2 linked regions of the Danio rerio genome follow. The protein of the gene in region 1 interacts with the protein of each later gene in a pairwise test. Links are inferred from orthologs where the notes say so. Each region holds a gene or a part of one and is shown on either strand. Other genes may lie near its edges.

What was found. The genes of interacting proteins can lie anywhere in the genome.
Region 2: the proteins of txn2 (region 1) and rbm45 interact in binary tests that used the Homo sapiens proteins (3 or more experiments, as listed by UniProt). The two-hybrid records come from large-scale screens. The link is inferred for Danio rerio from reciprocal best matches to the Homo sapiens genes TXN2 and RBM45.

What each region holds. Positions count from the first base shown.
Region 1 is NC_133178.1:3,501,512-3,506,697, forward strand, and holds part of txn2 (thioredoxin, mitochondrial), read right to left. Parts: intron 3,800-5,186; coding exon 3,540-3,799; intron 780-3,539; coding exon 656-779; intron 1-655.
Region 2 is NC_133184.1:1,467,497-1,472,682, forward strand, and holds part of rbm45 (RNA-binding protein 45), read right to left. Parts: intron 4,739-5,186; coding exon 4,616-4,738; intron 2,748-4,615; coding exon 2,621-2,747; intron 2,546-2,620; coding exon 2,423-2,545; intron 1,054-2,422; coding exon 877-1,053; intron 1-876. UniProt on the Homo sapiens protein: RNA-binding protein with binding specificity for poly(C). May play an important role in neural development.

The DNA of each region.
Region 1 (5,186 bases):
TGATTAGTTTCAGTAATTCTCAATGTGTGGTAATTTGTATTTTCTTCATTTATAGGAAACCACACATACACACAAACACACCTATCAGCACACCAATTATAAATGCTTGAAAGTTCTACATCCATCAACCAGATTAAAGTTTGTTTTTTGAGAACTGGACTGTTGCACCTCTTTTTAAGGGAAGCGCATGGCTGGAAAGCAGGAGCTAGTGTAACGCAAACAGTAATAATCGCAAATTGAGTGTATTATTTATATTTTTTAAAGATGTCCATAATGTTAATTATTTTTATTTCAGGTTTAGATTAGGTGTAGCAAGTCAATAATCAGATTTTTTAAATTGAATTTAATTTAGTTTTATTTATATAATTTTAATTTGTAACTATTTAAAGCATTTATAGATTATTTATTTATATTAAAGTATTATTGATACTAAAGCTGTTTTTAATTTCATGTTCATTTTTAGTCATTTGTTTTTGTCATTATTTTTTTAAATTCTCTTTAAGATTTATTTACTTCTCTTAAAGTTTCAGAAGAGCTTTATTTTTTTGTTTATTTGCCATTAATCTAGTGATGCAGGGAAATCTTATCTTATATGTATTTTAAATGTCCAAAATATGTTCAGATACATTATGTTTTGAGCATGCGGATAGCGTACCCCATACTCGATGGCGAGGTCTGTGTGTTCATCGATGTCCACTTTGGCCATGGTGACTCGACCCTTCTGTTTGGCGATGGCCTTTTCCAGCCGCGGGCCGAGGATTTTACAGGGACCACACCATCTACAACAAACACAACACACACCTTTATGTCAGATTCAGATTCATCAAATATTTACAGATACAGGTAAAGTCAGAGTTATTCGCCCCCCACAGATTTTTTTTCTTTTTTTAATATTTCCCAAATGATGTTAAACAGATTCAGGAAATTTTCACAGTATGTCTGATAATATTTTTTCCTCTGGAGAAAGTCTTATTTGTTTCATTTTAGCTAGAATAAAAGCAGTTTTTAATTTTTTAAACACCATTTTAAGGTCAATATTATCAGCCCCATTAAGCTTTATTTGTTTTCGATAGTCTACAGAACAAACCATCGTTATACAATAACTTGTCTAATTACCCTAACCTGCCTAGTTACCCTAATTAAGCCTAGTTAAGCCTTTAAATGTCACTTTAAGCTGTATAAAAGTGTCTTGAAGAATATCTAAACTAATATTATTTACTGTCATCATGGCAAAGATAAAATAAATCAGTTATTACAGATGAGTTATTAAAACTATTATGATTAGAAATGTGCTGAAAAAACTCTTCACTTTGTTAAACAGAAATTGGGGGAAAAAATAAACGGGGGAAATAATTCGACCTCAACTGTATATACAGTATTGTGAAAACGCCTCGGTCTAGTAGTATTTTCACCTGATAAAATGGTTTTATGTAAATAGAAATATTTTCCTGTTTTTAAAAATACTTAGAAAGTCTAATAATTCTGAAATAAATCTTTTCAGTTTAATCTGACTTGATTATTACAATTAATAGCAAAAATAATGTTGGGAAATGTAAGCTGATATTTCCTATTGATACAACACAGCAAAGGACAAAACAAAACATTTTTAGCTGGTAAAAGACTAATTTAAAGAACTAATAAACATATACAATACAAATCATTTCTAATGTCATAACTATTATAAAGATATAATAATATATAATCATAGTATTTAATTGTATTATTATACAGTTAAAGTCAGAATTATTAGAGACTCTGTTTATATTTTTTCCCAATTTCTGTTTAACGGAGGGCAGATTTCTTCAACACATTTCTAAACATAATAGTTTTATTAACTCATCTCTAATACCCGATTTATTTTATCTTTGTCATAATGACAGTAAATAATATTAGACTAGATATTCTTCAAGACACTTCTATACAGCTTAAAGTGACATTTAAAGGCTTCACTAGGTTAATTAGGGTAACTAGGCAGGTTAGAGTAATTAGGCAAGTTATTGTATAATGATGGTTTGTTCTGTAGACTATCAATACAAAATAAATAGCTTTAAGGGGCTAATAATATTGACCTTAAAATGGTGTTTAAAAAAAACTAAAAACTGCTTTTATTCTAGCTGAAATAAAACAAATAAGACTTTCTCCAGAAGAAAAAATATTATCAGACATACTGTGAACATTTCCTTGCTCTGTTAAACATCATTTGGGAAATATTTAACAAAGAAAAAATAAATGAAAGGGGGGGTAATAATTCCGACTTCAACTGTATATCACCATCATACTATTAATTGCAAATAATTTCATCCAGATTGCAAGTTCGTACAGTACATAAAAAAGTTTATATTTCATATATTTATTATATAATTTGTATATAAATACACTTCTATTTGAAAAAAAAAATATTATTATTATTAATAATATTTAAATATGAATATTTGTAAATAATTTATAACATATAACAATAATAATTTATCATTTATAAAATATAAAAATGTAAATATATCTAAGTATTTGTATTTACATATAAATAAGCATAGAAACATATATGCGCACACACATTATGTAAACACAAACTTTTAGTTTGGATGCAATTAATCATTTGACAGCGCTAATAATATTCATTTCAAAATATCAATCAATATTCATCAGGCCAAAATATTTTGTTACCATAGCAACTATAGAATTACCACAACAGATTAATTACTATAGTTGTTGTGTTACCATAGCAACTATGGAATAACCCTGACAGATTATTTGGTTTAGTTGTTGGTGTGGTACCATAGCAACTGTAGATTCACCACAACAGATTACTATAGTCGTTGTGTTACCATAGAAACTATGGAATCAGTACAACAGATTAATTACTATAGTTTTTGTGTTACCATAGCAACTATAAAATCCCCACAACAGATTACTAGACGTTGTGTTACTATGGCAACAATAGAATCACCACAATATATTAACTACTGTGTTTGTTACCATAGCAACTATAAAATCACCACAACAGATTACTATAGCCGTTGTGTTACCATAGCAACTATGGAATCAGTACAACAGCTTAATTACTATAGTTGTTGTATTACCATAGCAACCATAGAATTACAAAAAACAACAGATTAAATACTATAGTTTTGTTGCCATAACGATACAAATGAACTTAATACAAATGAATACAGTATTTTTTCATGTGAGTATATACAGTTTAAGTCAAAATTATTAGCCCGTCAGAATTACCCCCCCCCCCCCCCCCATTTCCCCCCACTTATTCTCTTAGTGAAAAATATAGCTTAAAGGGGCTAATTATTTTGACCTTAAAATGTTTTTTTTTATTTTATTAAAAACTGCTTTTATTCTAGCCGAAATAAAATATCTCCAGAAGAAAAAATATAATCAGACACACTGTAAAAATTTCCTAAATCTGTTAAACATCATTTGGGAAATATAAAAAAAAAAAAAAAAAAAATCAAAGGGGGGCGAATAACTCTGACTTCAACTGTATTTATTGTTGTGTTGTTGTTTTGATGAAATGATCGTCTACGTACTGAGCGTGGAAGTCGATGAGCACGGGCAGCTCGCTGTTGATCACCCTCTCTGTAAAGTCGTCGTGATCCTGCACGTTAAACGACACACTTCTGCTGGTGATGTACGGGAGTCGCGGGATCGAGCGTGAGAGGAGAGGCGGTGCGGCACGAAAACAGGAGGAGAACGAGGACCTGCTGGAGCTGCTGCTGGGGAGAACGAGGACGCGCACATCCTTCACGGAGATGCGAGAAACTCTCCGCGCGAGCAGCCGGAACGCCATCTGAGAAACACACAGAGAGAGAGAGAAAGAGAGTTAAATCATCAGAAAACACAACATCTATTAATTCAGTCAGTAAATAAGAACAACGCTGACAAGGTGGCTTAGTGGTTAGCACTGTCACCAGGGCCGGAGCAAGCTGAACTGCCGCTGTAGGCAGAGGACGATCACGCCGCCCTCAACCCCAATGTGAAAACGAAAGTGACCGGTTATGAAAATAAAGTGAGGTGTTGCGGACCTCTATTCTGCTGCCCTATGCACGGATATAACTGAGGACGCGCGGGTGCTGAGGGAGGGAGGGAGGTGTCGCGGACACCGCGCTCTCTATTCTGCCGCCCTATGCGCGGATATAACTGAGGAAGCGCGGGTGCTGAGGGAGGGAGGGAGGGAGGGAAGTGTCGCTGACGCCGCCCTCTCTATTCTGTCGTCTATGCTCGAATATATCTGAGGACGCTGGTGGTGAGGGAGGTGTCGCGGACATAACTGAGGATGTGGATGGTAAGGGAGGTATCTCGGCCGCCTAGGTCACCTCAATGGACGCGCCGGTCCTGACTGTCACCTTACAGCAATAAAGGTCACTGGTTTAAGTCTCAGCCAGTTGGCATTACCGTGTGGAGCTTGCATGTTCCCCCACAGTCCAAGCACATGCCCTGTAATTGAATTGGCTAAACTAAATTGGCCATAGTGGATTAGTGGTGTGTATGGATATTTCCCAGTACTGGGTTGCAGCTGGAAGGGTATCCGCTGTGTAAAACATTCTAGAAAGGTATGCAGTTCATTCTGCTGTGGCAACCCCTGATGAATAAAGGGACTAAGCTGAAGGAAAATGGTAATTAGGAACAAACAAGTTCACTGATGCTGATCATATTTTAAAACATTCAAAGTCATATTTGTCTAAAGTACTTATTGGCATGCTGAAAATTTAACCCCTTCCACAGCGCCCCGACGAGGTCGCACTGAGGCGCTGTTTTTCCATATGTCCATGTTTATGAATAGATTACACCAAAAAGGTCATGAGTAATCTTGAAAAACTCTACATCAGTTTAAAGCTACATCCCCTAAGCACCCATTGCAGCTAGTTGTTTTTCAGTGTAAAGCTTTTAAAGAATGTATTTGCTAAATTTGTGTAAGTTTTGCAGAAAAAGCTTATTAGATATGGCGTACATATCATGTAATACCAACACACACACACGCATTCATTGCTGTGCATCACGGTTTATTTTGAAAGGTAAGAGTCCACAGAAAAACATCCCATCAAGCACATTTAGTCCACCAACACAATAGTGTTGAATTATGGATGGTTATTCATTTGTTTATGTCACCATTTCTGCCGGAGACCGATTGTTTACACTGTTTTACCATGGTACTCAAACGTGAAAACGCCATTTTT
Region 2 (5,186 bases), on another chromosome or scaffold:
GTTAAACGTGAGAGGTGCTGTGTAGTCGATGCTGTCAGCCATGCAAGCGGCAGCTATAGGTAACATTTAACACAGCTCATGAAAAGACCACTATTGCTATTAAGATGACATGCAAATAATAAATTATATATCAATATAAATGTGGGCGGGGCGATGGATCACGATGCCGCCTCAGCATCGTGAAGTTTGTCAGCCATCGGCGATGGCAATGAGAAGGGGGTGGGGCATATCAGTTACAATAGAGCATTTGATTGGTCAGAAGATTTGATGAGAAACTGAAGTACGAGGTGATTTATGTCAAGTTTATATCTTCTAAGTGTAATTTTTGTCATCGTTTTGGAGCTCATTAGCTTATAGATATCCCTAAGACTAACATACTGATTAAAAAAAATACCTTTAAGTGACTTGTTAAGCGGGTGATGCAGTGGCGCAGTAGGTAGTGCTGTCGCCTCACAGCAAGAAGGTCGCAGGTTCGAGCCTCGGCTTGGTCAGTTGGCGTTTGTGTGTGGAGTTTGCATGTTCTCCCTGCACTCGTGTGGGTTTCCTCCGGGTGCTCCGGTTTCCCCCACAGTCCAAACACATGCTGTAAAGCTGAACTGGGTAGGATAAATTGTTCATGGTGTATGAGTGTGAATAAGTGTGTGCCCAGAGATGGGTTGCGGCTGGAAGGGCATCCGCTGTGTAAAAACGAGCTGGGTAAGTTGGCGGTTCATTCCGCTGTGGTTACTCCGGATTAATAAAGGGACTAAGCCGAAAATAAAATAAATGAATGAGTGACTTGTTAAGCATGTCAATATTTAGCATTTCCTCCTCACCACAGTGACAGCTTTTGCTTTTTTTCCTTGAGTGTAGACAAAGGACTGCAGTGTTATTCACCTTTGCTGAAGCCGTATTGATCTCTCTGTATCTCGCAGTAGTCCAGGCCCGGGATGAGGTCAAACAGGCTGTAGATCTGCTCCTGTGAGACGGACACCCGCGAGGACACCATCAGGCAGCGGGTGATGATGTCAGAGCTATAGGACTCTGCTGCGCTGTAGCTGCTGGACTCCTGAGCTGCAGGAAAACACCAGATGAGGACAATAAACCTTCAGACAACCAAACGCTGTGCAGCATTCATCTTCAGACAAAAACACAAGGCAAAAAAAATGACAGTTCGGTCATGCTTCACTCATTTTAATGCATTGGTTCTCAAACTTTTTTCATTAAGTACCACCTCAGAAAAAAATAGTCTCTCCAAGTACCACCAATATGAGCAGTATTAAAATACAGTAGCGTAGTAGGCCCAGTAAAGCAGCTACAACTCTGCACAGTTAAAAAAAGACGTGGCAGATTACCTCAGAAATATAGGCTATATGTCATATATGGCATATTATATACATCATTTTTGATAAATTTTGAAATATATATATAGCATGCACATGACATTTCATTCGTCCGCGTACCACTAGTGGTACACATACCACAGTTTGAGAACCACTGTTTTAATGTAATGTAGGGCTGCACGATTAATCGTATTATGATCACGATAACGATATTTTTGGCCCACGATCAATAATTAAATATCGAAGTGATTTTACAGCATAAAGACCAAGCCGTTATTTTAATAGGAGGATGTTTACGGATTGTACCGCATCACAAGCATGAGGTGACTGCGTCTAGATTGCAAGTGTTTTTAATCGAGGAATGCAGAGCTTTGCGTTTTTCTATGCTTTACTAACACCACTAAACCAGACAACATTTGTTTTATAAGCGAACCAAATATTCGTGGAGATTGAGCAGTTTTTTCTGACACGTTTGCCAGTTTTGATGACAGAAGACACTGTATGCAATTGTTTTGATGTAAAAACAAAAGTCATTGTGGCCCTGTTCACGCAGGTATTCAGGTTCATTTTCATCAATCTGATACAGTTTTTATTATTTACAGGAAAAAAAATGCAATTAAAAGTTTCAGATCAATTAATTTTTCTATCTATGCATGAATGAAATAGATAACTAATTTCCACTATTTCCGATTAGACCATGCACTTTAGTCTCTTTTACCGTTTTATTAAGTATATATGCTTTTTTAAATAACATTTGTTTGACAAATATTTTAGCGCATCGCCACATTTGAGGATAAATTCGCATCTAAGTGCTGAAAAATTGGAGTCAAACATGAGTTAAATTTAAACTAATTCAACATTGTGAGCTGGATAGACTAAACACACATTGAACTTTCATCCACCAGTAGACACCGCTGTTGGACTAAGTATAAGAAGCGTACACTATTATTATTAGTGAATGAGACCCATTGACCTCCATATTATTTCTGGATGGAGGTCAATGGCTGCTCGTTTCCAACATTCTTCAAAATATCTTGTAAATGTAAATGAAGCTTCCATTTTTGGGTGAGCAGTGCCCTAACTGTGCAGATGATGCATACCAAATGCGTATGAGCTGGAGCCTAGTTCACTGGTGGAGTGCTCCGTCGTCCTGGGGTTGCTGAAATAGTCGTTGTCTGCTGAGGAATTCTTGGTTCTGGGCTCTGCTATAATAGCTCTGAAAGCTGATGAGGAGGACGGATTAGAAGCACATCTAAATACAACAGGCAGTGGTGAAGCATGGAGAATGAGACTCTTACTCTTATCACAGTTTTCAACGGCTTTGGCAGCTTGTGATGGTTTGTGGAATCTGACGTATCCCAGACCTTTGCTGTCACCAGTGGTCTTATTTCGTATAATGATAGCGTACTCTATATCTCCATACACCTGGAGAGAGAGAGAGAGAAAGAGAATATGTCAATAAATATATAAGCATCATTCCTTCTCATTTTGGGAACAATTTTAACCCCTTTTCCATGTGCACATGATTATAGTCACCACATAATCTGTGCTACTTTGACAAAACTGACAGTCTCAGCTCTGTGACCCAATCCTAGAGCCAGATTCATAAATAGGAGTCTCCCAAACAAAACTTTAAAAAATAGGTCCGTCAAAATGATAAATAGTTAAAATATAATAATAATAATAATAATAATAATAATAATAATAAGCAATGTTCCACCTTTTTATTTAGGGTGCTTTTTGTAAAATGAGAGCATTTGTGCAAAAAAGCTGACTCTAAAAAAACACTTCCTAATTACGAGTCTCTCAAACAAAACCTAAATAAATGTGTTTGTCAAAATAATAAAAATAAAATAATTAATTTAATAAACAATAATAAGTAATCTTCTGCTTTATTTAGGGAGCTTTTGTAAATTGAGAGCATTTTTAAGCAATTTAATTAATGTATGTGCATGCAACTTTTAAATTTAGTTCAGTCATTTGTACAAAAAAAAAAAAAAAAAAAAAAAAAAAAAAAAGTACTCTAATGGTGCGTTCACATCAAGCGGCAACCTCCCGCTCTCCCTCAGGAAGCCAATATGGAAGTAACTAAAACTGCAATCCATCTGAAATTCCGCTAGTCCTGGCCGCTCCTGCTCCAAAACAGAGCAAATTTCAATTGAGCGCACTGTTAGAATGGCCAACTCTACAGCAGATAAAAGGTGTTTACAGCCTGCTACAAAAAAAGATTTTGGTTAATACAGCTAATATTACCCTTCATGACAACTGTGAGGGGGTGAATTTTTTTATAACTCATCCGTTTCCTTTATATTAAGTTTGCATAATTAAGGGCGTGGCCACTTGAGTGACAGCTAGATCTCGTTGGTCGCCGTCACGTCACCTCAGCTGAATCCTGCAGATTAGCCACTGATCTCGGCATATTTATCGTATTTTTGTGTTGTTTTGTGTAGCTTTACACAGTCAACTGCCTTTTGGACTTGTTTCCTACAATTATTAGATGGCATGGCATGCTGAGTGCACTTAATTGTGCACACAAACCATTCACGTGGCCTCCGTTTCCCATGTGAGTAAAGTTATATACTTATATACCATCTCTATACATGTATTTGTTTTATTTAATCGTTTATATTTATATTTAGAGCTGTAATGCACTCCAGAATCTGTCAGATTGATTAGCTGTAGGCTCTAGATCAGTCATCTGAAGCGTTGTCATACAGTGTTATGCTGGATTTCATCAATAGTCTCACATTAACTAACACAGACTATATCTGAAGTGTTTGGAAGTAATTCATGTTTTCCTCCTGTTGAAAAACGTCATAAGAACAATGTTTAGAGGCTCAATATATTACAGCAGTGTTTTTAAAAGTCTAAACACTTTATTGATATAGTGTACAACCAAGCACAAGTGGTCAGAACACAAGCGAGTCGCAGGTGATGAAGTATTAAGCGTTCTCCCAAAGTAAAGTGTGTCTGAGCCAGGTCCAAGCTAAACTCTCCGCTCACTCTCCGCCTCTTTGCCCTTGTTTGGTATCCCGCCGTGGGTGTGATGACGCGCGAACAAAATGGTGACGGTTGGCCACGCCTACTTGTGGCTTCTTTTGCTCTCTTTAGAAACCTATGGGTGACGTCACGAACACTACGTCCATATATTTTACAGTCTATGGTTCACACCAGACATGGATGAAGCATCGAGCACGATAATTAGTCTAGTTAATGTTTAGATGTCTATTAGACATCTTTGAATTACATAAAATGCTGGCTTGTTTTTATACAGGTTAAACACCCCGCCATACCTTAAATGTTTCTTTTAAATCATCCTCAGTGAATGTTTTCGGGATCATCACAAATATTCTTGTGAGCTCCTCATCCTCCACATCTCGATGGCTTCCAGAAGACCTGGACTGAGCGATGAACACCTAAACCAAAACAGCACAGGCTCACATCAGGAACAAGCAAAACTATCTGCCAGTGGTGCAAGTAAAATACTCAAAGTAAGAATGTTTAGTAGTACTTTACATGAAGATTGTATTAGTTAATGCATTCACTAAAATGAACAAACAATGAACAAGTATTTCTTTGTTAATGTTATTTAATCATAATAAAAGTTTCATTTTAGTTTATGTTTAACTCAGTGTCTTAACAAGCATGAATTTGGATTTTAATAACACATTAGTAAATGTTGAATGATAATTAATAAAGGCTGAACAAGTATTACTACTGAACGATATTGAAAAAAAAAGCAGATTTTGTCTTTCTGAGATCCATATTGTGAGTTTGATTTCATCAGATGACTTTAAAGGCTCAAATTTAGAAATAACTTATTATTTTAGAGTCATTGGGATGATTCTGTAGGGAAGAGCATCT